Cricetulus griseus: one gene and its partner. The protein of the gene in region 1 purifies or fractionates together with the protein of each later gene. This does not show direct contact. Links are inferred from orthologs where the notes say so. Each region holds a gene or a part of one and is shown in the gene's direction. Other genes may lie near its edges.

Region 1 (16,156 bases):
ATTACCAGCCAGAAAAGGGTTTTGTTGCTGTTATTCTTTGTAATTGTTTTTCCAGACATTGTCTGATGTAGCACAGGCTGGCCTTAAACTCTCTACATACACAAGACTGGCCTTGAACTCCTGATCTTCCTGCCTCCACCTCTTGAGTGCTGCTCCAACAAACTGGTGTGGTCTTGGGTGTTGGTGGTGTTGAGAAAGCCTATGGAGGTCTTTCTTCCTATCGCTGACTTCCTCTTGGACCTGTATGACTGATACCACAAGCAGTTCTTTCCCTTGCAGGAGCTGAGCACCTTTTTCCTTCCTTCCTCTGCACATGGAGTTCCAGTCAGTCACACACGTGGTGCTGGATTCATCCGGAGTCCCAGTGTTTGCAGTTGTCCCATTTCTTCTCAGTGAGAGAAGAGGTGGGGCCAAGTGCTTTGTCCTCCTTTTTTTTTCCTAAGTTGGGTATCAGAAAAGATAGGGATTAGGAAGGAGTCGCTGTGTTGTTAACAGACAGTTGCAGCATTTATCGTGATCCATAAAAAACCTCAGTAGGATTGGTACTTATCAAGGCAATGTTTTCTAGTTGATTCAGTGTTTCCCAAGGTCCATTCTATACAAGTTTAGAGAGTGTACAGACAACAAAGCTGAAAAAGGACTGCATGCTGTTCTGGAAAGTCACAATTCACGGTAGCATGTTAAAGATGCTGAGAAATTGTACAGTAAAAACCTCGAAAATTTTGGGCTTATCATTTGATATTTATAAAAGAGATGTAATAAGCCTGTTTGTTAGAAAGCACACTGCAGTAAGCACGTGAACCGTTGGCCTAACTCCAGGACTAGAACATTGCCCAGCACCCACCTGCTCCTCTCCAGTTACAACCCTTATCTTCCCTCAGTTTGATGCAGGAATGTGCATCTTTATCACTTAGGAATGGATTTCTAAGTAACATTTTAGTTTTGCTTGGTTTTCATCACAACAATAGTAGCATTACATTGTTTTAGTAGGCATTACCTCTAAGATTTATCTATATCACTGCTTGTGACTTTGTTCATGCATTTTCAGTGCTGTGTAACATTTCCTTATATGGACAAACCAGTTTATTTCTGAATCACCTGTCTATTGAAACCTGAGAGGTTTTTTTTGTTGTTTTTACTTATTTTACTTTTAATATTGCTATTGCTTCTTTCAAGGAGCAAAAGAAATATGAGCCAAGAGTACTGGCATAATATAATTACATTGTTGGGAGCATAAAAGATGATGCTCATAGTGCTGTAAGCTAGCACTTAAGGAGGAGAGAAATCAGAAAAGTGAGCAGGATGTGCCTGGCTCAGGCTCCAGCCATGGAATTAAATAAGCCCGTATTTCTCAAATGAGGATATGTTACTCCTAGGGACATGCAAGGACACAGAAAAATGTAACATGTCTTTTAGAGTATCCATTTTCATATAATTCAGAACATACACAAAGAAGAATTAAATTAATAAAATAAAATGAAGCTGTGGCAGGAACGTATAAAGGTTTTCAGGAAAACAGAAAACCCCAAGTGCTGGGGTTCTGTCTGTGTACCACACTTGGATTAACGCTGTTTCTTCTTATATGGTCCATAAAGACATAAAAACTACATAGTCCATTTTTTTTATTATACTACTTAGTGTGTATGTAGAAGGGGTATGCATATCATGGCACACATGTGGACACTGGAAGACAATTTGTTCCCTTTCCACCACGTGCATCCAAAAAGCAGACTCAGGACACCAGGCTTGGCATCAAGCACCTTTACCCACAAAGCCATCTCAGCAGCCATTGCACTGCATGTATGCATTAGATAATATTAGTCCCCACAAATGAGCCTGTGCCCTCTCCCCCTTCTTCCTCCCATATAATATCTGCCTCTAGACTATAGTGAAAAGGATAAAGATGCTGACTTAGGTTTGTACATATGTGTGGAGTGTTGTTTAGGAACAGTTATTCATAGGAATTGCCTAGTAATTAACAGAACATTAATGCTCTGAGTGCTGGTTTCTGCTCTGTGAGCAGAGACTAGAAAGTAAAAATGATACAAGCATTTCAAAAGGATTTATTTTTGTTTTATGAGTGTTCGCCTGCATGTGTGCAGAGGCCAGAAGAGGGCATCAGATCCCCTGAAATTGTGAGCCACTGTGTGGGTGCTGGGAGCCAAACCCAGGTCTTCTGGAAGCGCTCTTAACCGCTGAACCATCTTTCTAGCCCAGTGCCTGCTTTTCTGTGTATAATGAGTTTTCAAGGCTTGCTGTCCAAGAGCCAGACTCCTCTCATTCCACCTGCCATCTGGAGAGTTGGGAAAGCACCCTGGTGACAGACAGCACAAACCAGGAGCAGCAGTGCTGACTGTCAGCCCCATGCTGTCTGTTTAGGCCACACACCCTGCCCAGATGTGCTATGTATCTGGCCCTGAGAGCCCCTTAAAGTCAGCCTCATAGGCGATGGTCCTGCCCACACATAGTTCAATGTAGTTCACAGTCATGCTCAGTAAACATTTATTAAATTGAATTTAACTGAACTGGGTCGCATTCTAGCTCCACACGAGATTTTTTTAGTTTCTTTTTAGGTAAGATTGATTTTTTTTTAAAAAATCTAGACAAGAAAAGGCATTCTTTTTGTTTCATTGTTTTTAAACATAGTCTAAATTTAGGATACAGCTACCAATATGTTCATTACCCATAATTTTTAAGCATTCTGAGCAATGACTCATCAAAGTCCTTAAATAGATATTTGAAAAGTCACAATAGCCTTGGGAAACAAAATTAGGTTTGGCAAATACCGTGTTTTCTCTTTGCAGTCAGGAATATTCTGTCTTACTGATCTACAAGGGAGGGGTGTGCTGTATAATTTTAGCAAATTCTTTTCCCTTTGTACTAGAGTTGAAAATGAGCAAAGATCATCTGACAAATTCCTATAGGGAACCCAGCACAGCTTCCTTCTTACTAGAAACCATTGCCAGAGAACATTCCCTTTCCAAATGCAATACTGCCTCCTCTCCTGACACTGGCTCAGTGTCCTCCAGTAAGTATCTCCAGTCTGATGGCCAAAAGGTGAGGCCAGACAGAGGCATCTATACTTCAGCAGAAGATAAATGAGCTTGGTTTCTACTCCTTTCCTCCTCCTCCTCCTCCTCCTCCTCCTCCTCCTCCTCCTCCTCTTTCTTTTTGTCTCTAATGGAGTCTAGAATTTAAATCTTCCCAGAATCTTCCAGGTCTGAACTATAAAGCAGTGACGAGGTGCCTTCCACTCATCTCACCCTGCTCTAGAGCTGTCTCTTGAGTCTTGAACTTGCTTACAAATGTTAAAGAGAAGCCTCTCTCACCAGTGGGCGACTACTTTAAACAATTTGTTTATTTAGCTTATGTTTTGGGGGTAGCTTTACCAAGCCCTGCAGAAGTGGCTGAGTAAAACTCCAGCTTAAGCAGACTCTGTCGAAATATGAAAGGTAAGGACCACACCTAAGGTTGTCCTCTGACCTCTACATGCATGTCCTGACATACCACACACACACACACACACACACACACACACACACACACACACACTTTTTTTTTTTAAGAAAGATTTTAAAGAGGAAAGAGTATCCAATAAGATAAACTCTATAGCTGGTAAGTGGTACACGCCTTTAGTCTCAGCACTTGGGAAGCAGAAGTAGGCAGATCTCTGTTTACAGGACAGCCAGTAATGTTACGCAGAGAAACCCTGTCTCAAAACAAAAACAAAAACAAAAACAAAAACAAAAAAACAAAGAAACTCTGTATTTTAATAAAATACAGATAATAGGTATAATGGTTCTCAACCTCAGTCACAGTCCCCGCAGGGGTCAACATCAGATATCCTATATGTCAGATATTTACATTACAATTCATAGCAGCAGCAAAATTACATTTATGAAGTAGCAACAAAATAATTTTATGGTTGGGGTCCCCACAACATGAGGAACTGTATTAAAGGGTCACAGCATAGGAAGGTTGAGAACCACTGTCCTAAAGTAATACATTAAAACCTTGCCTTTAAAAGATCCAGGGTCCTGCGACTTCTTTTTAAAGTTTCAGTGAATAGGGGCACCCGCTGCTGAGCTTGATGAACCGAGCTACAAGTTGTCCTCTGACCTAGAGGACACACTGTGGCACATGTGAGACATGTGAGACATGGCGGCTACACTCACACTCTCACCACTTAGAAGGCTGAGAGAAAAGGGTTATATGAAGCTAGCCTGGGTTACATAGTGAGCTCTAAGTCAGCTAGAGCTATGTCATAAAACCCTGTCCAAAAAACAGCAAAATTTTAGCGAGGCAAGGTGATGTCACACGCCTTTAATCCCAGCACTCAGGAGACAGAGGCAGGTAGATCTCTTTGAGTTTGAAGCCAGCCTGGTCTACAGAATGAATTCCAGGACATCCAAGGAAAAAAACAAAAACAAAAGAAAACACATAAAGGCGTTGTCAATCCTCCAGGCCTGAATGTTTTTTCCAAAATACTCAGCACACAGTATCAGATAGAACTTAAGTCTGTTCAGTGCCTGCCATGAGAGTGATGCTCTTTTTTAGTGAGGCTTTTGCTTTTCTGCTAAATAACCTGAATCTCCTTGTCAGTTTCCTAGAGGAAGTCCTGGCTTCAGGGCTGCATAGCCGCAGCAGGGAGAGCTCACAGGCCACCTCGAGGTCAACAAGCAGAAGATGAAACGGCAATGAAGAATGACGAGAATAGCACAGCCTCCCTCTTACCCCGGCCTCAGCCCTTCCCTGCTGCCCGGGGGCCTCAGGAAGGCTCTTGTGTTTGTTGTAACTCGTGCCAGGTAACCCCAATCCCTGAACTGCTGGCACAGACACTGGAACGCCCATGATGAGCCCATCCCAACCCACTTGTGATTCTGTACCAAATAAACATGTCCTTTGTGTATTTGACAGCACAGTCACTTCAGTGTTTGATGGGCGTTGTTGAGATTGTTCTTGAGAAATGGGTTGTCAAAATAAGGAAGTCAGAAAGCCGTGTGCTGTACATGGTACCATCCCTATGCCCTGTCTTCTCTTGGTGGTCTGAGTGATAGGAGCCAGCCATGGTAAGGACCGTGGAATCAGACCTATGGGAAGTTGACAAAGCCTTTCCCTTAGATCAGGCTCAGAAAGGCAAGTCCTTCCTCTGTCCAAGTAGGAATGTTCTAGCAATATTGACCACTAAAAAACTAGCAACTACAGCTTCCTCCTCCAGTACAACTGAGGCCTGAGACTGCCCCCTACAGACACCACCTACTGAGACTAGCCTGAGACTGCCCCTACAGACACCGCCTACTGAAACTAGCCTGAGATTGCCTCTACAGAAACCACCTACTGAGACTAGCCTGAGATTGCCCCTACAGACACCACCTACTGAGACTAGCCTGAGAATGCCCCCTACAGACACCACCTACTGAGACTTGCTAGCCCCACCCTCTTTACCCCCTTGGCAGTACTTGAGGCCCTGAGGCTCCAGGTTGCTGTGGCAGTACTGAAGCTTCATCAGGGGGCACACAGAGCACCTGGCCTCAGTTTTTCTGTACCTGTGTTTGTTTCTGTTCTTCCTGCCTTCCCTTTCTGCCCCAGGAGGAGTTCCAGGACACAGCCCCTCATTTCCTGTTCACCTCAATCCTGCACCCTTCTTTGGAGAGCCATTTGCTGTGTGTTGAGAACCCATGTAGGGCTGCAATTAGAATTCAGTCTGCAGACATACGGGTGGTTTTGTTTGACTTCTTTAAGGCTCACTCATGGGGATGACTTGAGATAGTGTTATACCATACAATGAGAGCATGCCTGTACCCAGGGCACGTTTAACTGTACCAGAGCAAATGAAAACTTTCCTGAAAGTTGTAAAAAGTGATGGAATGAATAATGGCAGGAAATTACAGTGTCCTCACATAATTGGAGAAAAGGTGTCACAGGATAGTCTGTTATCACCACAAGAGTCCCTCCTGGTTCTCTGTAGAGTGTGTTTTTAAAGTTTTAAGATTGTATATGTGTTCCTGTGTGTGTGTGTGTGTGTGTGTGTGTGTGTGTGTGTGTGTGTGTGTGTGTGTGTGTCAAGCTCCCTGAGTGCTGTAAAAATGTGTAAAGGAAATCAGAAGTGCTTATTCTAAGTTCTCACTTAAGCACTGGTCTCTGGAAACAGTGCCACTTAGGATCCAAATTCAGGTGCCCATGATGTTCGCCTGGTGAGAGAAATCCACTTTACAGCAAACTGGGTAGAAGCTGGCATATGTAAACGTCTAGTGCCAAGACAAAGAAGCAAAGGTGAGGAAGATGGCCGAGCTTCTTAATAGTTCCGGTTACTGGGAGGGAGGGAGCCCCGGGGGACGGGGACCAGCCAGAGATTTATGTAACATCTTAAGACACAGACAGGCAGCAAAGGCTCTGCAGCCCACATGCATCTGCTCTAGAATCTGAAAATTACTTTGGTTATTTTTTTATGGGTCCCTCTGCCTGATGTTTCTCAGAGCACTAGCTCCTGCCTGATGCTGTGCAGAGAGCCCAGGGATACTCTAGTATCTGTAGACTAAGTGAAAGCTCCTGGGAGGAAGGCGATGAGGCAAAGTCATGAATTTCTTCTGCCCCACCCCCAGCCACAATTTATCATTCTATTTCCTCCTTGTGATGCTGACAATTGAGCTAGACCCCCCTCCTGAATGCTAGGCAAAGAGATCTACCACTGAGCCACACTCCCAGCCCCTTTGAAACTATGTAAATCAGGTGGAGACAGGAGGATTAGCACATCAAGATTAGCCTTAGCTATGTAGTAAGGCTGAAAGCAGCCTAGGCTGTGTAAGACCATATATATATATATATATATATATATATATATATATATATATATATATATTCAATCCAAACCATTCTTCTATGCCCGGCCAACAAGTTCTCGAAAGCTCCTGTAGGCTAATTTCCTCAGCTGTGTCCTCACACTGGTACATTATGCTTCCTCACATAGCCTGCATTTTCTCACTTTTTTTTTTCATCACCTTTTAAACAGGACAGTACCAAACTGAGCTGGGGAGACGGGAAGGGGATAGTTTCAGAAGTGCGCTCTGTGTGTACAAAGTCTAAAAGGTACAACGGGGTCAGAAAACCTATATTCTAATTCATGTAACAGTAGTGTGTCAATTTGACCATGTCATTTGGTTCTCCGTGCCCGACTGATCATTTCCCAAGGGATAACATTCCCATTCTATATGCCTAACAAAACGGTACTCAATATTTTTAAGTGCCAAAATAATATTTTGAAAGGATAAAGTTCTGCATCCACCAGAAAGAAAAAAAAAAATCAGTTCGTATGGCTAGGAAAGAGAATCTTACAGGATTGGGAAGGGAGATGGGTCTGAGGTTCTTTCTTGACAGATTCCAAAAAAGCCCAAACATCCTCCACGCCTCCAACCACAAACTTCGCAACCCTTCATCTTGAACGTTTCTGGAAAAAGACTATTTCCCCTGCTCCGTAGCAGGGGTCTTTACTCACTTCGTGGTTGCTGTGTTTACCATACTATACCAGGTAATAGGTTTATTGGCTTATTGTCTGGTAGTAATTGGCCCTAGGAGACAACCCTTGGGTCCTCCGGGGCTTTCATGGGTCAGCTCACCCTCCTCCATTTACCCGGCAGGGGCACGGAGACCGCCGAGTGGTGAGGAAAGCCGTCCTCAAACTTGGGCTCCCGCCCGGCCCCGTCACAAACTCAGGGCTCGGCCGGCTCGCGGGCCTCCCCGCCGCCGCACGCGTGTTTCCCGCAGGCCTCGCGGGGCGCTCGCGGCCGCCCCGGAGGAGGTCGAGACCGGAGCCTCCGGAGGGAGCTCCGTAGCCCGCGTCTGAGGGTCCGAGGCGGCCGGTCTCGCCCCGCGCCTCCGCTCCATCCGGCTCGCCACGCCTCGGGCCCGCCCCCATCGCCGCGCCTCTCGGTTATCCGCTCGCGCCTCCGCCGGGCGCCGGGTCGGAAACAAAGGCGGGGGGCGGGGAGCGCGCGGCGGCGGCGGCGGCGCCACGGTCGCCCTTCATTCGGAGCCCGCGACGTCAGCGGCGGCGGCCGGGGGCCCGTGCGGCGGGGCGGGGGCGGGGCGGGCATGGGCGGCGGGGGCAGCGAGGGCCCGGCCTGCGGGTAGCGCGAGCCGGCGAGCGAGCAGCGGGCGCGGCCCCCGATCCCGCCGGCCATGAAGAAGAGCGGCTCCGGCAAGCGGGTGAGTGCGCGGCGCGCGGACAATGGGGCCGGGGCCGGCGAGCGGGGAGCGGGCGGGCGGGCCGGCGAGCGGGCGGGCGGGGAGGGCGCGGAGACCCGCCTGAGCCGCCGCCGCTCCTCGTCTCGCCCCGCGCAGGGGCCTCCCGATGGAAACCATCACTCTGCGGCGCCCGAGAAGGTCGGCTGGGTCCGGAAATTCTGCGGGAAAGGGATTTTCAGGGAGATTTGGAAAAACCGCTATGTGGTGCTGAAAGGCGACCAGCTCTACGTCTCCGAGAAGGAGGTAGGCGCCCTTGCCCAAGCCGTCCCGACCCGGTCCCCACGGCGGCTGGTTCTCCGGCTTGCCCCGCCTCCCTCCCTGCAAGTTCAGGGGTCGCAAAAGTCCTGTATCTGCAGAGAAAAGTCACCCGAGTGACTTTACCTGGGTGGGAATTAGGAGTTTACTTAATTAAATGTGCCTGTGAGGACACCTTTCTCAGAAGTTCTGAACGTCCGCTGCCTCTTCCCCTGTTCTGGCCCCCTGAAATACGGGATTGATTTTTTTTTTTTAATTTTCTGTTGAAACACACTGCTCATCTTGTCCCTCGTCCCTTTCTGCCTTTCCCACCCCAGCCCCACCATCCTTTCCGTTCCTGTCTGTAGCAGGGGGCATATGTAGGTCTCTTGAGTAGCAAGTCACCCTAAATCATAGAAAACACAAACTGCGATCCGTCTCTGGGACCTGAGGTAGGGTAGCTGTGGATGCCAGACTTTTGTAGAAGCCAGCGTCCTGAAGTAGGCCTCTTCCTCACCTTCCACTCCACTTAATGAGGAAAAAAAACAAACAAACAAGAAATTCATATTCTGCCCACCTTTATTTGTAGAGTGGTGGAACCGAGTTAGGACTGTGAGCGCCTGTGTGCACGTGTGCTTTGACTGTAGTTGAGCATGAAGCCACAGCCCACACTGGTCAGAATCTAAAGCCAGGTCATGGAATCCAGACCCCCTTCCCCTTTTGTAACTCTTGAATCAATAACAGGAATGCTGAGAAGCCGAACTTGCTTCCCTGTGACTTTTTACAGAGCATGGTACACTGGCCCCTCAGACTGGCCCTCCCGCCCTTGACTGTGTTCCCTCACCCGGAACGGACTGGGAAGTCCTCCCCAGTTCTAACCCCTTCTGCTTTCAGCACTAGACTCTTGCATTGTGCCGTTCTGTTCGGGTAAATAAATCCTTTTATGGTGTTGAAGTAGACACACTTGCAGCCCAAGAGAAGTACTCATCTGAAAACTGTCTACTGAGACAAGTAGAGAGAACTAAATAGCGCTGAGCCGGCAGGCGAGGTCCCTCTTGAAGGGACCTAAACATAACGGTTGGAGAGTCCTGGAGCAGCTGAGGGAAGGCTTGAAGGAGACTGTACTTTGAGGGTCACTGCTACAGACAGATGCCACAGACAGCTTTCATCACAATTTTCTTGCTTTCCACTTTTTTGTTTGTTTTAAAAAGCCGCAGCAAGTGTCACTGTGTATCTCCTGTCTTCCCTGAACTTCATAATGCCAGGAAAAGCAGTGCGCAATCAGGAAGGGCTTCCTACATGTCAGAGGGAAACCAGAGGGCAGTGAAAGGCTAAAGAAACTAAACAAGGCTTTTTTTTTTTTTTTTTTTTTTTTTTTTTGGCTTGTATTTGTCCAAAAGGCAGAACCTGGGGATTGTCCAAAAGGCAGAACCTGGGGACAAAGGTGCAGGATTAATTGGCTAATAAGCTTTATGTCAAAGAAGAACTACGGAGCAGAGAGATGATAGGATGACCTCAGCCTAGAGTGGCTGCTGTCCTCTGAGTCAGGAGCATCTGACTAGTCCTGGAGCCAGATGCCCCCTACTGGGGAGGGCATTGGAAAAGAGGGAACTGCTCCTTATTATGACCCTTCTTCAGAACCAATTCCGTGGTCCAGTGGACCCGGGCTAAGGGTGAAGCTGCCAAAAGACACGGTTTATTCTGCCTGTAAACAAAAGCTGCAGTAAACCAATAGACTGACGACATTAAAACCAAGAGCATAGTATTTGCAGGTCACATGCTGATGCAAAGACGAAAACGTCCCTACCCATTGCATTGTTTCTGTCAGTCTTTCTTGGGAAAGCAAGGAAGCCCTTCCATGTGTGCTGTTGGTCATTCCCCACTCTCCAAAGGCACCCTTTAAAAGGGCTGGGATGTCTTCTAGTCAGCAGATCCACACCTCAGGGTGGCTTCCTGGGAGAGGAAGTTAGGTTGATAAAGTGATGCTTTGTGTGTATGTGGACCCCGAGAAGAAAGGGTTAATTTGGAAGATGTAGTCATAAATGAGACTTTGGGAATTTGGTGTGAGAAACAGACAGAATACAGCACAGAACAAGGTGCCAGGGGCGCCCATCTTTTCTGGGCACTGGCATTTACTTATTCTACTGCCTGACTCACCCAGTCTCCTACCCATGCCCTTTCTGACCTCTGCCAATGCCTCCTGCTCCCAGAGTGCCTTATCAGCCATGCCCAAGCAGGGGGAGCTCCCTCCCTCCCTTCCCTCAGGAAAACAGAACAAGTGAGTCTTTCCCCTGCCGCACACACCCAGCTCTTCCTCTCCAAGCCTTCTGGTCTCTGCTGATAGTCTCTTTGGGGAAGGAGCCAGAGAGGAGGGCCCCGTGTCACAGCCTGGGTTCCTGTGAATTGTTCTTGAATGTTCCTTGTGGCACCTGGTCCCACGTCCACCATAATGTTTAAGGCCTCTGGTCATTTCCCAGCCAAAAGCCCAGGAGCCCTAGAATGGGAAGAACCCTAGAGAACTGAGCCTTGCCAGACAAATGGAGATAGATGTGTATGCCCTTTGCTCCCACACAGCACGTGTAATCAGCAAATGAAAAGGATGGGCAGATCAGCTACAGGCTGGTAGAGGTCTGCCAAGGGAAACATTGGGCTACTTAGACACGTTTGCTCAGTTTCGACTTTTCCCCGGGGAAACATGACCAACTAGTTCCAGGCATATTCCCAACCAAGTAGAGGAGGGTGGCCAGCCTGCTGATCAGGAAAAGTCTCCGATAAAGTCCTTTAGAAGAGAAAGCAGGTGGGAAGGAACACTCTTGTGAACCATAATATTCCCTGAGGCCAGAAGCAGCCCTTTGCCATTCCCAGGTGTTGGCTGCCTTTTTCACCTTCTCCTGGACTGTTAATGGCCACTTGCATCTTCCTTACTTGGGATGATCGGATCAGCCTATCACCATGTCCCTTTAAGGACATGTAAAGCCGTGTCCTTCAGAAACAGAGTGAGGGTCATGGGTAGAAGGAGGCACTGGAATGGTAGCTTGTAGGGCAAAGGGGTTAAACAGAATCCCACACAGACTCAGTTCTGAGTCCCATCCCCGGTTATATGCCTTGGGTGAGATAGCTTCCTTCTGTCACCCTTCCCTTTCTTCAGATGCAGAAGCACAGTAATTTTATCCTTATCACACCCCAAAACTCCCCTAGGTAAAAGATGAGAAAAATATCCAAGAGGTGTTTGACCTGAGTGACTATGAAAAGTGTGAAGAACTCCGGAAATCTAAGAGCAGAAGCAAGAAGAACCACAGCAAGTTCACCCTGGCCCGATGCAAGCAGCCAGGCACCACGGTAGGTCTGCCGGCTTGGCAGGCTAGGTGGGGAAATGTCCCTGCAGGCTCTCCCTCGCTGTAGTCTTAGCTGCAAGGCCCAGAACAGCCCCCAGATTTGATCTCCCTCTGGCTTTTATTATCTAACTGGCTCTGCCCCCTTTCCCCCTTTACACACACACACACACACACACACACACACACACACACACACAAGCCATGCTTGTCACACTCTGTGTCTTCAGACATTTAAAGATCTCTAATACCTAAGCTTTGTCACACCTACCCTAATTGTCTGCAGTGTCAAGTTCAAATCCAGTGTCACTCTTAGCTCATCCCTGATTATGTCTAAAACAACCTGTGCATTCTGCGGGAACAGACTCAGGGTTTCTTTCAGTCATTCATGATCCCAGACGCAGAGCCACTCTTTTCCAGGAGCTGGGTGCAAGGGATGAGATTATCACATCTCTTTCTTTATTTGTAAAACCCTAGCTAAAACAAGAAACATTCCCCTCACAGGCCCCCAACCTGATCTTCCTGGCGGTGAGTCCTGAAGAAAAGGAGTCCTGGATCAACGCCCTGAGCTCTGCCATCACCAGGGCTAAGAACCGTATCCTGGATGAGGTAGGGGCCTGTTGTGGGGAAAGGGACACTAGAGCAGAAAGCAAGCTGTGACTCACTAGAGGAGGAGGGGTGTGGGGGCCCCCTCTAGCTCTCCCCAACTCTACTTTCTCTGTGTCTTTGAAGGCCCCCTTGTCCCATCTTCTCTCTGAAGTCTTTGCTCACCCTCCTCTCCAGCTTCCTGCCAGCCTTGGAGCATCTGTGTCCATAAACCCTTCTGCCTGTGACCCTGCTCAGAAATAATTGGTGGGGTGGGCTTATTCTGCAGTCCAGGCAAGTTAGGGGTCGCCCAGCTGGGCCAGAGTCCTAAAGAAAACCTGTGACTCACAGTGCATTTCTTCAGGTCACCGTTGAGGAGGACAGCTTCCTTGCCCACCCTACTCGAGACAGAGCAAAAATCCAACACTCCCGCCGCCCTCCAACTCGGGGACACCTCATGGCTGTGGTATGTAAAACTGCAAGAAAGTAAACACTGCGGGGGGGGGGGGGGGCAGCTCTGTGTCAGTCCACCTCAGCTGCGAACAAGCAGGAGCATTTGTGGGAGTCCTCCTCATAGGAGGATCAAAGGCACAGTCGGCCTGTCCACCCTCCATTCCCTGTCTGACTCCCCAAATCAAAATTGCTCACTCAGCACCTGCCCTGAGTCAGACATTGTGTTCTCAGTAACTTCTGAGGAAATGAGAAATGCCCCTAGGAAAGAGAAAAACAGAAGTGTGTGTGCAGAGTGATACATGCTGCTTGCCGTGTGGTGGCCAGCCACCCTCACGAGTGATGGTAAATGCTACTATGCCCCACAGCAAACCTTCCACTGCATGAAGTAGTTTCTCTCATTCAACCATGTTCCGGGTCTAGGGAGAGGCTGTGCCTGCAGGAGGAAGGACACAGGCTTTGGATTCAGCAGACCGGTGATCTCTAGGGCTACCAGGCTGTGAAGTGGGGTGGTGACGAGTCTTGTAGTGAGAAATGTCCAGAACGGCCCACGTGCAGCGGCATAGATGGGGCTGACTTCCCTTTACCGCTGCTACAGCATTTAGAAATAAGAGAACAAGGTCTGTTACCAAGCAAGAGTGCGGGTATCAGCGCAAGCTAAGGTGTGTGGCCAAGAGGGCGTGGATAGAGAATTCTCCTGTGTGTGTACCTTACTGTGAACTGTGGCCATCCCATGTGATACTTAAGAGTCCACAGCAGACACTTCTCAGGAGGCTTGTAGCAGAGCAGAGAACGCAGACTATGCAGGAGAAGGTATGTTACAGAAAAACAAAAGGAAGAACTTCAAGTCATCATCACAGTGATCTGAAATAGCCATGTCGAGGGGCTGAGTCAGGAGTGGGGGAGGCCAGGAAGGCATGTGCTAATGGCAGTTCCTCCCTTCTTTCACATTCTCTTTCCCAGGCCTCGACCTCTACCTCAGATGGGATGCTGACGTTAGACCTCATCCAAGAGGAAGACCCTTCCCCTGAGGAACCAGCCTCTTGTGCAGAGAACTTTCGGGTGGATCTGGACAAGTCTGTGGCCCAACTGGCTGGCAGTCGACGAAGAGCTGACTCTGACCGGATCCAGCCCTCACACCGGGCCAGCAGCCTTTCTCGGCCTTGGGAAAAACCAGACAAGGGAGCCACCTACACCCCCCAAGCCCCGAAGAAGTTGACCTCTACAGAGAAGGGCCGCTGCGCCTCCCTGGAGGAGATCCTGTCTCAGAGGGACACTGCCCCAGCCTGCAGCCCCCTTCACCTCCAAGCTGAGGAATCCCCAGCCCCCCTTCCCTCCCAGCCGGTGCAGCTGTCCCGGATCCAGGACCTGGTAGCAAGGAAACTGGAGAAGACTCAGGAGCTGCTGGCAGAGGTTCAGGGACTGGGAGACTGCAAGCGAAAGGCCAAGGACCCCCCACAGTCTCCACCCGATTCTGAGTCAGAGCAGCTGCTGCTGGAGACAGAGAGGCTACTGGGAGAGGCTTCGTCCAACTGGAGTCAGGCAAAGAGGGTCCTGCAGGAAGTCAGGGAACTGAGAGACCTGTACAGACAGATGGACCTGCAGACCCCCGACTCCCACTTCAGACAGACCTCCCAGCACAGTCAATACCGGAAGAGCCTACTGTGAAGGAGGGGGGACAGGTCTGGAATTTAGGGGGCACAGACTATCTCCAAATGTTGCAGGATAAAGCTTTTTTTATTTACCTCAATCAAAAAAAAAAAAAAAAATCAAACTCATTGCTCTTGCTGATGCCTGACCCGCTATGGCCTTTTCCTACCAACTCCCCTAGACAATTTGCTGGTCAGATCGGAGAAGGTGAGGCCTGAGGAGCTCTCACCACACGGAGTAATAAAACAGCGCTCACTGCGCACATGCCACCTGCTCCCAGGCCAGTCGGGAACAGGCGCGGATGCATACCCATCTGGGTTAGAGTGGCCCAGGAAGTGGCTTCCTCAGATGTCCCACTGCAGGTTCTCATTCTGAGGGTGAAATTTCAGCTGTGCAACTTGAGTTCTAGGGACACAGGGGCCAGTGCCACCTGTCCGTGCCATAAGAGAAGTGAAATGTACCCCAGGTCTGAGGAGGATATGTGGAGTTAACACTGGCTTCTCACCATGGTGTGTGTGTGTGTGTGAGAGAGAGAGAGAGAGAGAGAGAGAGAGAGAGAGAGAGAGAGAGAGAGAGAGAGAGAGAGAGAGAGAGAGGTGTCTCTAAGGCTGAGGCTATAGTGGTATAGTGCTTGCCTAGCACATGTGAGGCCCTTGTGCCCTCTCCAGCATTACAAAAACATTGAGCTGCCTCGGTTTTCTTATCTGAGGTGCTTTCTGTTCCTTCCACCAGAGATTCAAGGTACAAGCTTGAATAGATGAAACCGGCCTGGTCCTCTGTCTGGGCTGGAGTAGCACAGGAACTGGGGAGCAACTGATCCTGTGGAAGAACTAACCTAAAAATGAAACTGGCTTGTGATGGCAGCTGTGTGGGAAGGAGGGGAAGCCAGACCTGTACCCAGCTTCCTCTTTTTGCCAAGCAAGGGTTCCTTCTACCCGCCCTCCTCCAGCCTCCACCCTCCCAACAAACACAGCTTCAGAACAGCTCTCCCCATACCGCCACCTCCCCAACTGCCTGCTCTGTGGCAAGTCCCCCATGGCTGGCTCTCTAAGATTATTAATGCTAATGGTAAGGCCTAGAGTGGGGAACACAAGATCTGGATGAGTCATGAGATAAGAACATAGAGTCTCTAGAATCTGGCATACAGGGTTTAAAGATGGAGCATGAGTCCTTTGTCCTTGCTCCCCCTGAGGCCTCACCTCTGCTGCCAGGTCCCAGAGCTTCACTGGTGGTGAGAGGAGATAGATAGGACAAGCTAAGGGGGCTGGGGAGAGAATGTTGTTGACCTCTATTCTGTTGGGACTTAACCACCTTGTAAACAAGTTGGGGGAATCCTCCAACTAAACCATCAAAATGGGATTCTGGGTTTTCCAGCACATGTGAGTGATGGAGATTTGAACTCAGGTCCTTGAACAGCAAATGCCCTTACCACTACGCCATTCCCCCATCCTGCCCGAAGACAGGCTTTTGTTTTCTTAGTTCCCTGCTTTTCACTGCCATCAAAGTTTTCTCCATAGCTATAAAGCTATAGTTATCTAGAAACAAGGACCCCTCTTTTTTGATTTGGTTTGGTTTTTTTCAAGACTGGGTTTCTCTGTGGCTTTGGAGGCTGTCCTGGAACTAGCTCTTGTAGATCAGGCTGGTCTCGAACTCACAGAGATCCA
Region 2 (15,468 bases), on another chromosome or scaffold:
AAAGAGGAGCAGTGGTAGGCCTGGAGGAGCTGGGGGCCACACCGTGCAGGAGCCCCACCCTGCTGTTGAACTTTGAGAGAGCAGGCCCTACTTGGTGGTGGGCACAAACCCTGTTGCTCAGTCATCTCTTTCCCCTGCCTTCCCAGCTTGACTGGTTTGGGACAGCTTGCTTTCCTGGCCTTCTGTGTCTGGCTGTATGCCTCACAGGGACCATTCTTGCTGTGTGCACACCCTGACTCTCACACTTTCATTGGTGGGCTCTTGCTGCAGAGCTGTGTGCCGATACCCCTCCTCTTTTCCTTGCCATCTCTGTCATTTGCATGTCACCCCCCACCCCCAGCCTCATCTTGTGTCCCCAGGTTTTTTGTTTTTTTTTTTCCTGCCCTGGCAATACTGAGATCTCCCATTGGCACAAACCTTCCCTTCTCTAGTCTGTTTCCATGACTGGACCTTGCTGACCAGAGAACTGTGTATGTCTGCCTTGTCCTGTGCCTGCAGCGGGCACTCCGGTATTTAGTGTATGGGAAGAATTTCTCTGTGGGGTGTTAGAACTCCCAGTTCCTGGGTTAGGAGGCCGGTAATGGCAGACCAGAGTTTGAACCTGTTTGCCTTCCCACCATGTGTTGTGTTTCTGATGCTGACATGTGTGCCGCTAGGGACACTCTTCCTTGCTTCCGTTGCTTTATTTTTTTAAAAGTATGACTTTGGGGCCCTGCGGAAAGCAGGATCTGGTTGTAAGCAGAGCCCTCTGCTGGCCATTGGGGTCTCTGGCATCTACCCCTCTTCTCTGGAGTGGGGCCAGCTGGGACTCTCTCCCAAGCCTTGATTTCACCATCACTCATCTGCATGTGCACCCGAGTGGACAGGGTCTGCTTTCGATCCTTATCTCTCTGGTGGCGGGCTCTCAGCCAGCAAGCAGATCAAACGATGGAATGTGTTCACTTGGCCATTTTTTAAAAAATCAAGGTCCAAGGGTTCACTTCTAAAAGACGAGGGCGCCAGGGATTAGATTATCCGGAGAGTTGAACCACTCTGGCTTTTGTGCTTTTTTTTTTTTTTTTTTAAAGGGTTCATCTCGAGTTTCTTTTTCTGGTTGAACAAGTTTTTTTTTTTTTTTCAAAATTAATAACTAATGGAAAAGAGGAAGAGGCAAAGTAGAACCATATGACAGCTCACACAGGCTTGCTTGTGGCCGGAAGCTTCTGATTTGTGTTGCCTTTCATTCGATCAGCTGTTGGGTTAGATAGGAGGAAAGCACGCCATTTGGGCAGGAGCAGCACTGAGATGTATTTCTTAACCCAGCTGAACTGTGTCCCTTATGCCCCTCTTAGATGCTGGCTACTGGCTGTGTGACTCTAAGCAGCTTGTTGCTCAGGCCCCGTGTGCCCCTTCTTTAAAATAAATGGTCTCTATGAAGACCTGCCCTGGGGATCGGAGTGAGTAATGCCAACAGACTTGGCCCCATGGTGGCAGATGCTCATCTCTTTTGTGGTTTATTACCGGCATTATCTGGTATAAGGTTTTGCTGTGTGGCCTACACTGGTCTTGAACTCATGGAGTAAAGTGTTTCTTCTGCCTCGGTCTCCTGAGTAGTTGGGGCAACAGGCACATGCCGTTGTCCTGTACCCTATTAAAGCTTTCTTTGCTGTGCTTGGGCTGAACCCAAAGCCAGACAAGAGCACCTGGTTCCTGCCCCTTGGCTAGTGTGCAATAAAGAATGCTGTGCTCTGAGCCTTCCCTCTGGAGGTGACAGCAGGCCCTGTCCCAGCAACATTAAATGGTGTCACTGGAAATTAAGTACTCCCAGCAGCCTGGGTTGACCAACTCCCTTGGTGTTAGGTAAACGTTCCGTGCAGAGGCCAGTGGTAGCAAGGTAGGTCAAGTGTGCAGTTTGGGGAGCAACCAAAAGCCATTTGTGCTGGCTCCACTCCTCTCCTTAAAGGCTGCAGAGCCACGGCCACAAGGCACACACAGTGGACTCTTAGCTAGTTGGACCTGGCCATGCATTTAAGTTGCTCTTTAAACTTACAATTTGTGACAACCAAGAATATGACACAACCAGTGGGTGGGAAGAACGGAGGGGAGAAATTTTGAATAATCTACTGGGTTTCAGAGATGAGCAGCCATTGCTCTCCAGTGTGATCTCAGGTGCCTGAGCATAGATTGAGATCCCTCTGCAGCTGATGGGACACAATGCTTGGTTGGGGTGCCCTCAGGGCCTCGTTGGGCACAGCATTAACCCAGTTGACACGGGGCAGGGAAGAGCAGTCTATTGGTGGTATTAGGACAGCCAGCTCAGGCTTATTCACTGTCCTGCTGACACAGGGTTATTCCAGGAACCCCTTTTGAGGAGTGGGAGTGCAGGGTGGGCCTGCAGGAACATTGGGACCCAGAAGGGGAATGTGATAGACTGTTGGTTGTCCCGTGGAACATTTGAGGCAGAGTCAGACTAAAATGGTCTTCATCATAAATCTGAAATTCATATTTAACTCATCATCCTACAGTGTATACACCAGCTCTCAGTGGGGAGGGTTTGTAAACAAACTTGCATGTTGAGGGGACAGCTAGTAGGCCAGTCTCAGGATTAGGGGCAGGACGGGTAGGTGGTACCCCCAGTGCACTCTGGGGCAGCTGCTCCCTGCCACACTGTATATCCTGTACTTGTTTCCAGTGATGGCCATAGTGGTGTTGCTCCAGGCTTGATTGTCTTTGATCAGAAGAAGACGGGGTGGTGCAAATAGAACTTGAAAATATGGCCCTACTTGAGAACTTATCCTTCAGGGACTCAGTGGGTGGAGAGCCAGCCTGCACAACCTATCCAAGTGCTTGTGCGCTGGGGTGTATCCTGTGTCCTGCATGATCTCCTGGCTTTCCTGTGTGCCACCAGGGGCTCAGTTGAAATGTAAGTTCTTCTGTGCTTGGTCAGAACTGGTGCGCTTCCAGAAGTCCAGGGCAGCTCTTCATGGGTGACTAGTCTCTGGTGTGAATTGCCTACTCTTTTTGACAGATACAGATAGATAGATATATATTTTGCAGGGCAGTGACCCAAGATCTTCTGGTTGTCTTTCTAACATTGCTGTGACTCTTCAGGCTGGGTTTGGGAGTTTGATTTGGCGATGGGGTTGGTTGGTTGTTATTTGAAACACTGAGGATTGATTTAGGACCTCATGCATAATAGGCAAGCACTCTGCCATTGAACTGTCTATATTCCCAGACATCTATTTTTTTCTTGAGACAAGGTCTTAAGTTACTCTGGTTGGTTTGAAATTCATTCTACAACCTAGGCTGTCTCTGACCTCCTAATACCTAGGATTATAGGACTATACCACCAGGCCTGACCATGCTGACATTGAACTCATAGGCTGAAATCCTTCTTCCCCCTCAGTGGCGAGGACTACAAATGCACACAACTGTGCCCAACTGGCAATTGACCCTCTTTCCGGCAGCTCCCATCATCTTGCCAGCCTGGCTGGTAAAGGAGAACTGGCTTCTGAAGCATCCCTCAGCACCCACTGTCTGAAGCAGTGTGGTGCATTGAGGTGCAGAGAGGGCTGGCATTGCTAGCCAATATTAGCAGACGTCTGGACATCGGTCCAGATGAAGAGAAGTAGGTGCCAGGGCTGACTTGACATGTGTTCCCTGTGCAAGGAGTCCCCAGCAGCAGCCCAATGGCTTGATTGGGGCCTGGTAACAAGCCACAGCATGAAAGGTGGGCGTGCAGGTGCCAGGGTCATTTCATTGGGCAGACCCAGCTGCCTCATGGAAGCGTGAGGCACATCCAGGGTGTCCCAGGTGGAGGACTCTAGCTATAACTGAGCAGTAGTGGGGGCTGGGAGGAGTTGTGCACCTTTGTCCTTACTGTCCAGAGAGGCAGAATGGAGGATCTTGGGAGACACCTTGCCCTAGAGTGGATTTCTGTATTCACTGCTGGCTGTTGGTGTGAACCTTGGGCAGCTTAAGGACTCTGGGCCTCAGATCTGTACTCTGTAAAACAAGGCAGTGGCTACCTCCTTCACGTCCTGGTATGAGCATTCAGGTAAACAGCATGCTTTGCCATACCTGGCCCAACATCGTAGACAATACCCAGTGGGCACTTAGACATGATAGAGAGTGATGTCACCAAAGCCAACTTTGAAAATAACCCCACTTGCTGGTTGGTTGGGTACACGGGTGCAAGTTCCCCTGGAACTGGAGTTACAGATAGTTGTAAGCTGCCATGTGGATGCTGGGAATTGAACCCGGGTCCTCTGGAAGAGCAGCCAGTGCTCTTAGCCGTTGAGCCATCTCTCCAGCCCCTGACCAAGTTCTGAAAACAAGCATAGCATGCTTTGGCTGGAGGCGTGTACTTTTTCTCTGGGACTGGTGTATATGCAAGAGATGGAGCACCCCTTGGAGCAAGATACACTTTAGTGCTAGGTAGCACTTTCCAAGCTAAGCAGTGATGCACCCCAAGGACAGCTATATGAAGCATCAGAGCCTGGTTGTCCTGGTGGTGCTAGCCTTTGGGACACAGGACCCAAACTGCTGCTAGCCCCCTCTGCTGGCAGCCCCTTTTCCAAGAGTTATTGGTGTGGGCAATGATGAGGTGGGGTCCCGTGAACCCAGACCCTAAAATGAGAAAGCCATGACATGGAGACTGGACGTGACTCAAGCACAAAGGCACCCGCTTCTTCGAGGGCTGCCGTCCCTCCCTGGAATACTTTGGTGGAAACTGATGTTTGTGTTGGGAGGAGGCAAGCCCCAGCCTGCTCCCTCAAAGGCTCTGGTGGCCATTGGCAGTACCCTGTAGTTTGTTCCAGCCACCTGAGCCACAAAGCTGTTCTCCTGTCACCCTCGGCTGTGCACCCAGGTGAAGCTGCGGAGGTGAGCTGGCTGCTCTCTGCTGTGGAAAGCGTGCGGAGAGCCACCTCTGTAGCAGATACAGCTGGCTATGAGCAGCCTGGTAATGCTTGGCCGGGGGCCTGGAAAGTGCTGGAAACTCCACCCGGCATGGGGGAGCCTGTGGGAGTTCTCCAGAGCCTGGTTACTCTTTGAGTTCTTTGCATTCCTGTGTATTTGAAGTGTTTGCCTTCTTCTCAAGACCTGAGCTGGTATTTCGTCCACCAGAAACCAATACCCGGCACTCACGTCCTCATACTCATAGACCACCCTGGTGGTCAGGTAATTAAAGCCACACCCAGGATTGGAAAGAAAGCTACATTGGAAGTCATGCTCCACGACATCTCACGACCAGGTTTCTTTATAGAGAGCCACAGTTGGTATTGGGCACATGTGGAGAGGACCAGACTCAGAATTTTGGAGGGCACTACAAGCCAGATGTCAAAGCCTGACCTTGTGGTGTCGGAACCTGAATTAGAGGTGCTACTTTAACCACCTTTCTACCTTTTTACCAGGTCCCCAGTCTGTGTGAAGATCTCTTGTCTTCTGTTGACCAACCACTGAAAATTGCCAGAGACAAGGTGGTGGGCAAGGATTACCTCTTATGCGACTACAACAGAGATGGGGACTCCTATAGGTGAGCTCATACAGCAGTGCTCGTCTCTGCGGCACCCGGGACCTTCCACACATTTCTGTGTGTCCTTCTTTTTCCTCCTCCTTTTAGCTGTCCATCCCATCCATTAACAGGCGTGTGTGGGTGCCTCCCCTGAGCACTGGACAGAGGACCTCGGTGTCTTGCAGTCTCATGGAAGAGCCATGCTGTTTCAAAGCCAGCTGCCCCATGGGGTGGCATGTCCTTCCTTCCTCTCTCTCCCTTCCTTTGCCTTCCACCATGTGGCCTGTTGTAAGAGGCCAAGTTGATATTGGTCCCTGCCCAGGAAAACACATCCAGTAGCTGATGAACTATACTGTGGTCCATACAGCCAGTTCAGAGTTGGCTCAGGACCTTGGCAGAGCCCAGAAGAAGCTGTGGTCAACTCCAGAATGACTTTGTGAAACAGATGATGCTGGGCTAGATGTTTTTAATAGACTAAAACTAGCTAACTAACTAACTAACTAACTAACTAACTAGCCAACCAACCAGCCAACCAGTTATTTTGAGGGAGTCTCACTATGTATCTTTTGCTGGCCTGGAACTCACTCTGTAGACCAGGCTGGTCTCAAACTCAGTGATCCTTGTGCCTCTGCCTCCCAAGTGCTGGGATGAAAGGTGTGAGCCACTGTACCCGGCACACTTGAGATACTTTCCCTTAAAAATTCCAAGTGTGAGAGTCCCCAGAACATTGCAGGATTTCCCTGGGCCTGCACACACTAGCTTAGTAGAGACCACACTGTGAACTCTTTGGAGAATGTTAAAGAAACAGGCAGAGTGACTGGGAGCAGCAGTGTGGGCTCCGCATCAGCATTGGGACTTTAGCCAATCCCTTGTCATCTCTGCTCTACTGAACAGAAACAGTAGTGGTCATTCATCCCACAGAGCATGCAGAAGCATCATTCTGTAAGTGTCACCTGTGCTCCAGGTACTGTTCACGGCTTCTTTTCCTGTGAGGTCCAGACAGGTCATAACATAAACACATGCATAAAAGATTGCAGGCCGGGCGGTGGTGGCGCACGCCTTTAATCCCAACACTCGGGAGGCAGAGGCAGGTGGATCTCTGTGAGTTCGAGACCAGCCTGGTCTACAAGAGCTAGTTCCAGGACAGCCTCCAAAGCCACAGAGAAACCCTGTCTCGAAAAACCAAAATAAATAAATAAATAAATATAGCAAACATACTGTTAAAGAGAACAGGACAAGAGAGGGAGAGGCAGAGGGGGTAGCCAGGGTGTAGGTGGAATTTTCTGTTCTGCCAGCTAGCTCCCAGATAACCACAGAGACTTATTAATTATAAATGCTTGCCCAATAGCTTAGGCTTGTTACTAACTATTACAACTTAAATTAACTCGTTTCTTTTTTTCTTTTTTTAAGATTTTATTTATTATGTATACAGTCTTGTGCCTGCACGCCAGCAGAGGGCACCAGATCTCATTCAGGGTGGTTGTGAGCCACCATGTGGGTGCTGGGAATTGAACTCAGAACCTCTGGAAGAACAGTCAGTGCTCTTAACCGCTGAGTCATCTCCCCAGCCCCTAACTCATGTTTCTTATCTACATTCTATCACGTGGCTTGGTACCTTTCTTCAACACAGCTTCTCCCTGAGTGTCCTGGCAACTACACCCTTCTTCACCCCAGTGCTCTCTCCCTGTCCACAAGTCTCGCCCAACACTTTCCTACCTAGATATTGGCCATTTAGGGGAGTGCCCTGAAAGTGACAAACAACCCTGTGGTAGGCCAAGGGAGCACATGGCCACAGAAAAAAACCCTCACCAGGTTCAGTTAGGGCTTCCTGGGAGTCTTGTCAGTGCTGTTTCTGAACACACCAGGTAAGGTCGCTGCTATGCTGGAGCTCAGGGAAAGACAAAATGAAGTCCCGGCTTGTGTGCCCCTCCCACTAGGGCGTCATCCCTTCCTGGGCACCCTGCAGGCCCCACTACAGCTCCAGGGGGCTCTAGGGACCAAGGCCTCACGGGGGAGCAGAGGGGGTAAGGAGAGAGCTTGACTTCCCTCTCCCTTTCTGGATCTGAAACTTCAAGGTCCTCTGATTTTCTCCACACATTTCCATCCTGTGTTTGATCGTTTGCTTAAATAAGATCCGTATGACACGGCTGCTGCCAGCAGCACTGCTTGAAACCTGTTAGCTGAAACAAAAAGCCTTCTGGGGAAATGAAAGGCCTGACTTTTGAAATCTAAGCATTCCTGTCCATCTGTCTTTTCTCAAATGGCCTCCATTTAAGCTCTTAAATGTGTTCTGAGTGCCCCTTCCACTAAGAATATTCTGGGTAATGTTATGATTTTTTTTCCCCCAGCTACAATTACCCCGGCTCCAGGCCTAACGGCTTGAAATGCCGTCGTCTGTGAGGCAGGAGGACCACTTAACAGGCTTCTTACACTTCAGGCCCCAGTCTGCATGGGATGGGTGATTGTGTCCTAGCAGGTTGCTTAGATTTTTAACCACATTTATCCCCCCCCCACTCTGTGTGTGTGTGTGTGTGTGTGTGTGTGTGTGTGTGTGTGTGTGTGTGTACATGTGTACATGTGTACATGTGTACATGTGTACATGTGCACACACTCGAGGTCAGAACCTAAAGGTTTTCTCCTTGCACCATGTGGGTTTCAGGTATTGAACTCAGGTCATCAGGCTTGTCAGCAAGTGTCACCTTGCAGGTCCAGGTTGTCTTTCAAAAAGAGTAAAAGGCTGGGTCTTCTGTGCCCATGTGAAGGCGATGGTGGGGGGAGGGGGGAGGGGGGGAGATGTGGACTCACCCTGCTTACAGATATGTCAGGGATTCTCAGAGGAAGCAGGGTTGGGGGGAGGTCCAGCTCATAGTTGGTTCTTGCACACTGTCCCCCAGTAGAAGAGCCAAACCTCGCTGACTAGTAAGTAGTGGCAGCTGCCAGCACCCTTCAGCTGTCCTCTGAGATCTGAGGAAAGATGCCTTTCTGTGTGTCCGCCCTTCCTTCCTTCCTTCCTTCCTTTCTTCCTTCCTTCCTTCCTTCCTTCCTTCCTTCCTTCCTTCCTTCCTTCCTCTTCCTCTTCTTCTTCCTCTTCCTCTTCGTCTTTCTTTCCCTTTTTCCCTTGTTTTGTTGTATTTGGAGATAGGGCCTCGTTAGATAGCTCAGGCTAGACTCAAGCTTGATCTTCCTGTACCTCTTACAGCTGCCAAGACTGCAAGCATGTAATGTCACCCTAGCTCCATCCCTGTCTGTTGGCCCGAAGGACCCTGCAGAGTTTGTCAGGTGCCACAACGGCCCCTTCATCAAAGACTCAAGCTAGTTCTGGTCTTGGGGTAGCCCAGGCTGTTCCCCCTTCTCCATCAGTCCTTAGGTCTTCAGTCTGTTGGTAGGGGTGGGCAGGCTTGAGCTTGGAAAGGATATTTCTTGTTTGGGAATTGAGCCTGAGGACTTATCATGGACAGGTTTCTTTGTGTGGGCAAGCACATTCGCAGCCCCCTTCCCCCCCCACACACTCCTTTGGAAACTAGCAAGGAGACCTTCTTAAAATGCCTCCCATTGCTCTTGGTGATCTAATGTTCTCCTGGTGTGGGAAAAGGTGCTTTTCAAAGCAGCAGGTTGGGGCCTGGTTCTCTTTACTTCCTGTGTGCTTAGCCCTGTGTGCTGGGTTCATTGACTGTGTTCCCTAAGGAGCGAGGCACCTCCTGCCTGCTTCTCTAACTGACAGCAATCTTCTTCATACTTATAGTCTGAGGAGCCTCCAGAAAGTCAGGGAGACATGGGCACTGGCTGACCACTTTGATGGTGAACACAGGGAAACACTGGTATTTGTGGCCACGGCACTTGCCATTCTTTCTATCTGTTCCTCAAAACAGCCCAAGGGTAGTGAATGGTAGCCTTGTTTCCCACAGGAGAAAGTGAGGTTGCAGCTAAGGTGTTTGCTGGTGTTAACAGCTGCATTTAGCCTGTCTGCTGACATCTGACCCTTTGCTCTATAAGCCTCTCCAGAAAACTTCTTGGTGACTTGGCCCCTGAACTTGAGGCAGCTGAGCTTGGACCCTCTGTTTACAGGCCAGGGGACTCGGAATGATTCACAGGACCATCTCCTACTTTGCTACCTTCCAGGTCACCGTGGAGTAACAAGTATGATCCTCCTTTGGAAGATGGGGCCATGCCTTCTGCTCGACTGAGAAAGCTGGAGGTGGAGGCCAACAATGCCTTCGACCAATACCGAGACCTGTGAGTTACTCTGCACATTAGCTCTCGGGGCTTTCATGGGGGGAAATCTTCTGTGAGAGCGTGACTAAGCTGAGCAGCCTCCCTGCTCTGCTGCCTGGTCTCCTAACTTGCTAAAGTCGGAGCCACCTGAGGCAGACATGACCATATTATTCTGTTACCATTCACAATAGTGGCAGGTGAGTCGGGAGAGCACATATGTGTTTACAGGGCATGTTTACACAGGGCATGTGTTTTGCGTTCCCACTGTCTCAGGTCCTCTCAAATGAATAGCTATTTCAGTGGGAGTAAAGTGTCGGATGCTACAGTGGTGCAGTCACCACATAGCGCTCACACAGAGAGAATGAGGAAGTTTGTCCAAGGCAGGGGCAAAGCTAAGACTCACACATGGGTGATCACTCACAAATACGCAGTTAAGATACAGTCTCTCTCTGTAGCTTGGGCAAACTGAGTTTGTGATCATGTGTGGAGATTACAGGTGTATGAGAACACACCACAGCTCTTAGATAGAACTCCATTTGGACTGGAGCTTGGGGGCCCAAGCTGACTGCTCAGTTGCCAAAGCAGAATGAACTGGGGTGTCATGCAGTGGGACATGGCAACCCCAACCCCTAACACCCTTTTTACCTCCCTTCCTTCCTTTGGTGCGCGTGTGTGAGGTATGAATGAGTGTGTGCGTGTGTGTGTGCGTGTGTGTGTGTGTGTGTGTGTGTGTGTGTGTGTGTGTGTGTGTGTGTGTGAATATGGACACATGCACACATGGAGGCCAGGGGTCATCGTCACATGTCCTCCACTCTCACACACACACCCCCCACAGACACACACACGGTTTCTCTGTATAGCCCCCACTGTCCTGAACTCACTCTGTAGACCAGACTGGCTTTGAATTCAGACAGGCACCTGCCTCTGCCTCCTGAGTGCTGGGATTGAAGATGTGCACCACACTCTCCATTCTATTTATTGAAACGGTCTCACTGAACCTGTTTGGAAACACTCATTGGCTAACAAGTGCCAAGAATCCTCCTTATCTCGCACCCACCCACCCAAGTGCTCGCGTTATAGGCTCACACTACCATGCCCAGCTTTGTTTTTCCTGAGTGCTGAGGGTTGAAACTCAGATTCCCGTGCTTGCATAGCCAGCATCTCACCAACAAGTCACCTCCTTTAGCACCAGATAAACATCTGAGTCCAAAGCTGATCAGGACATCAGCACAAGAAAATCTGCTCCTTTTGATCCCTTTTTGTTCCAGTTTTGCAACTCTTCAAGGAAGGGCTCCAGAGAAGGTTGTGTTTAATGAGTAGAATCTCATTTCAGGTTAGGTTCTCTACTAGAAATATAGCAATACAAAGTTAGTAGAAATCCCATCCCCATCCCCATCTGCCCCACTCCCCCCCAAATCTGGGACAAGGGTTGGCACACTCCCATGAAGGGACAGGTGAGTGATCACATTAGGCTTGCAGGCCACAGACAGCTGATCTTGGTTTTGTCTTTTTGTATGCCACCTTACAAGATGTAAAACTCACTTCTTGAGCCCTGATGTAGGTGGATTCAACCTCCATCTCTACTTGATTCAACCCTGGCCTAGCATAGAGGAAGAAAAAAAGGAGCTGAGAGAAACAGTGAATTTGAACAATGCCCTGAAGTTAGAAGACAAACCCAGGGCTCCAGCGGGCAGACTATGGATGGTCTCCCATTCATTCACACCAGTTTGCTGAAACTCACTTAGGAGGAAAAGGGTTCCTTCTTAGCCTGACACAGACGGTTACCAGAGAGCCATCACCACATGGTCCCAAACACTTCAGTGGCCCCCCACATACTTGTGTGTATAGCAGCCATCTTGATGTCTTATATGGTGAGGATTTACATATGATGCCTTTTTTATAATTTATTTCTGTGTGCATTGGTGTTTTGCCTGCATGTGTGTCTGTGTGAGGATGTCAGATCCCCTGGAATAGGAGGTACAGTTGTGAATTGCCATGTGGGTGCTGGGAATTGAACTCGGGTCCTCTGGAAGAACAGCTAATGCTCTTAGCTACCAAGTCATCTTTCTAGGAAAGGTGACACAGAGGAAGACACAGATACTGAGGCTCCCACAACTCACAGGGCATGCCGGCAGAGAGCAGGGATTCAATCTCCTTTGCTTGACATTTGTGCCAATGTTACTTCTCATGGTTCAAATGGGGTTTCCTATCTGATGGGTCTTACATCTCCTGTTTGGCCACTCTGTGGGATCGCTCCTCCTGGTGGTGCTGAAAACCTGCTGTCTGTGCTTTAGTTTTTCACTCTCTGATTTCACCTTGCCATAGAAGCAGCTTCAAATAAATGAACTCTTCACGCTGAGGCCCAAGTAGAGTCAGTTTCATGTTGCAGTAACATTGCTAGTAAGACAGCATTGGTAGTAAGTCACTGTCTGGTGACCCTGGACTGTGGCCATCTTCTTTAGGGACTATCCCCTCCCAGAAGTGAATCGACATTCAGAATTGCTTTCATCCACGTTCACGGTCAGAGCGTGGCAGAACTACGGGGAGAAAGACCATGCTGTTCTCCTTTGCTTTCTGCTGCTGCGGTGAACACTGACGAAAGCCAGCTTTGGAGAGGAGGGGGTTTGTCTGTCTCAGGGGTTGCAGTTAATCACTGAGGGAAGAGCCAGGAGTCCCGGCAGAGACTATGGAGGAATGCTGCTTATTGGCTTGATGATCGTAGTTACCTTTCTTATATAATCCAGGACCACCTTCTGAAGGGTGGCATTTCCTACAGTGGCCTGGGCCCTCCAGCTACTCCCACATAAATCAGTAATCAAGAAGATGGCCCCACAGACTTGCCCACAGCCAGTCTGATGGAGGCAATCCCTCAATTGAGGTTTCCTCTTCTTCAGTTGACAAATTTGAGTCAAGTTAATAAAAACTAACCAGGACATATCCTCATCCAACTCCAGAGTCGTGTGTGTGTCTGGGTGTGTGTGTGTGTGTGTGTGTGTGTGTGTGTGTGTTGTGTGTGTGTTTGTTTTGGTTCTTCGAGACAGGTGTCTAGAAAGCCTTTGTGTGGCGCTGAGGACTTTTCCACATTGTTGCTGGTGTGCAGGGATGGCAAACCATGCCTTTCTCTCTTCATTGCTACCCTTCTCTGCCATTGACCTCCGCCCACAGGAAGTCTTAGTTGTCACCCCATGAATGAAGCCACAGAGCCCTTCCAGGGACTCGAGCACTTGTTTTTTTTTCATGTTGGCAAACACCAAACACACAGGTCCTCTGGGAGGAGACATCCCACCCAGTGCTAGACTGTTCCAAGGGTCCAGGAAGGCAGGCTGGCTCCAGACCTGGTGGAAATACACACATATTCCTCAAAGCCACCCCTTCTAGAAAGAAAAGGAACAAGTGAACATGTGAGCCTGTGAACATGAGAACAGTACCTCCAAGCAAGCCATGCTGGACCCAGGAAGGCTGGGTAACTGAAGCTGCTGTGCTGTAGGTGGGGCGTGTGACAGTCAAGCCCACCTTTAACCTCTGACTGTCTCCAGTAGTTCAGAGTTCTTGGGTCATGATAGATCACAGAGGAGAACCCATGCTTGACCTTTGCTCAAGGCTTCAACTCCTCCCTACCGCATGAGGAGCTTCCAAGCTTCGGACACAGCAGAGTCACAGTCTCCTCATGGAGAACACTGGGCTGCTGTGAACCCTCAGGGAGTCTCACCCTCCTTTATATTGGGAAGGGCATGCTGAGCCTGCTCATACAGGGGTTTGGCACACATTCCAAACAGAATACAGGGGCTTAGATGCCATGGTCCTGCTGCCCATGAGACCGTGTGCAGCAGCATCACTGCGCGTTTGGTTGCTTACCTGCTATGACCTTGCCTTTATTGCTAGTTTTCCTTAGAAGATGACAGAAGGAGAGGGCAGGGAGTGTGTGGGGCTGCCTCAGCCCTCTCAGAGATGGGAAGTGCTCAGGGCCTCCCTTAGGGTTCTCTGCCATGAGATCCAAGAAAAGACTAGATTCTGTCTTCAGGCCTCAGCTTTGATCCCAGGTCTGTAAAGGCTTTGACTTTGCAGGGAATTGGAGTTAATCACCCGCACATGGAGTCCGTCTGGTCAGAGTGGCAGCTGGGGCCAGGGTGGCTGCAATGCAGGCCCTCTGGCTTAGAACTCCCATGGGGATGTAGCACACATGCAGGCCTGTGAACGGTTCTCAATTAGGGATAAAGGGCTAGCAGCCCCCAAGGTGGACAAGGGCAAGTAGGACTGAGGGAGGCAAGCTGGGTTCCTCCCTGGCTGCCTTTGAAGTGCCTTGGTTCCCGCTTTCCCTGCTCCCTGCCCCCTTCCTCACTATTCCTCTCCAGCCTCCCCTCCCCCCACTGCTTTCTTTGCTGTCCTGGACAGAAATAATCACGATTTTTTTTTCCCTTCCCTCCTGGAGAGTTCCTGTGACAGCAGTACCCTAACAGCCTAGGTTTCAGATACAGGGTTGATTTGTGAAGCTGCCCAGGATGCCAGGTGTGCTTTGCCTCAGGGGCAGACTATAAGGTACCACCTGCTCCAAGTCGTCTCGGATTCCATCACTTCCACCCTGGCCCCGGAATCCCAGCTGTTCATCTCTCTCTCCCAAGTCCCAAGGTAGCTTTCTGCCCATGGTGGTACAGCCAGCTCCATGTAGGGAATGTGTGAGATGAAAGATAGGAGTTGCAAATGGGAGCGGTGACGGCAAGCTCATGGATTGCCGTGCGCTCTCTTTCCCAGCAGAGGCCATAGTCAGCTCTTCTAGGCCCAGATTGTGCCTAGTTCACTTTCAGGCTTCACTACATGGCCTGAGACCTGTCTTTCTGGGGAGGAACCTGGAATGGACCCTCCAGTACAGGGCAATGGCTCCTCTCTGTTGGGAACAGGGCCATCTCACTAGCCAGAGCCACCACAGTCGACTGATAGGAGCCCAAACTCATCACCTTGACCTTTCGGGTTCCCAGAGAAGACAGGGGACCTGCCCCTCTCCAGCTCTCTGGTTAGATCTGGCCTGGCCTCCAGTTCTGCCCCAAACCAGATGTTCTAACTGAAGGGGGGCTGGCACCACTCACTTCCAGAGCTCATTACTCCCATCTGCACCAGACATCTTGCCCTGTGTGCTGCGATCCCTGGCTCTTAGCTCAGAGCAGATAATACCTTCAAACATGCGGTTGCAATTTATTGGCCTTATAAGTTAATTTTAGGGGGTGTGCAATTGATTGAAATCAAAACTTAATGAAGGCCAGAGGCTGGGGGTCTGGGTTCGGGTGGGAAGGAGCCCTCTGTTCTTCCTTGTCTGGGGTCGGAGAGGATCTTCAAAAGCTGTAATTAGCTTTTCTAATCAACCCTGCTTTCCTGAAAGAACTTACAGAGTAGAACAAGGCTGTCGTTCCTGTGGCTGTCCCAGAAGCCCATGGGCCTCTGCAGGAGCAGTTGGCGTGCTTGGTAGATGGCCTTTCTGGGCTCCCTAGCTCCTCTTTCCTCTCTGTAGCCATCTTAGAGCTGTGGCTGTTTCTGCGCCTTCCTAGTACCTGTGACATTGGAACAACCCTGGCCAAGGGAGGGAGGGCACCCATATTTGTGTCTGAGAACCTTGGTATCCCGGAACCCTGAAACTACATTCCTCTGGGCTGTAGGCTCTGAGGTACAGCCCCTTCTGGGTATAGGCATTCATTGTCCACTCCTGTGGGACAGTGGGAGGCGGCGGGGAGAGAGAGAAACTCTGCAAAGATGGGAAGCCATGTTTGAGCTGA

The links.
Region 2: the proteins of Plekho1 (region 1) and Capzb purify together in Homo sapiens (co-immunoprecipitation; 3 studies listed by BioGRID and IntAct, counting the BioPlex papers as one, with this or other methods). This does not show direct contact. The link is inferred for Cricetulus griseus from reciprocal best matches to the Homo sapiens genes PLEKHO1 and CAPZB.

Annotation. Positions count from the first base shown.
Region 1 is NW_023276806.1:60,517,373-60,533,528, forward strand, and holds Plekho1 (pleckstrin homology domain-containing family O member 1), read left to right. Parts: upstream 1-8,049; 5' UTR 8,050-8,175; coding exon 8,176-8,202; intron 8,203-8,337; coding exon 8,338-8,484; intron 8,485-9,052; exon of another isoform or gene 9,053-10,428; intron 10,429-10,779; exon of another isoform or gene 10,780-11,673; coding exon 11,674-11,814; exon of another isoform or gene 11,815-12,311; coding exon 12,312-12,416; exon of another isoform or gene 12,417-12,743; coding exon of another isoform or gene 12,744-12,756; coding exon 12,757-12,858; exon of another isoform or gene 12,859-13,434; intron 13,435-13,551; exon of another isoform or gene 13,552-13,805; coding exon 13,806-14,510; 3' UTR 14,511-14,765; downstream 14,766-16,156. Other genes in the region: Vps45 (vacuolar protein sorting-associated protein 45), read left to right, coding at 4,603-4,690; uncharacterized protein LOC113833187, read right to left, coding at 31-438, 7,628-7,912. UniProt on the Homo sapiens protein: Plays a role in the regulation of the actin cytoskeleton through its interactions with actin capping protein (CP).
Region 2 is NC_048595.1:14,041,819-14,057,286, reverse strand, and holds part of Capzb (F-actin-capping protein subunit beta), read left to right. Parts: intron 1-5,393; coding exon 5,394-5,515; intron 5,516-9,613; coding exon 9,614-9,727; intron 9,728-15,468. UniProt on the Homo sapiens protein: F-actin-capping proteins bind in a Ca(2+)-independent manner to the fast growing ends of actin filaments (barbed end) thereby blocking the exchange of subunits at these ends.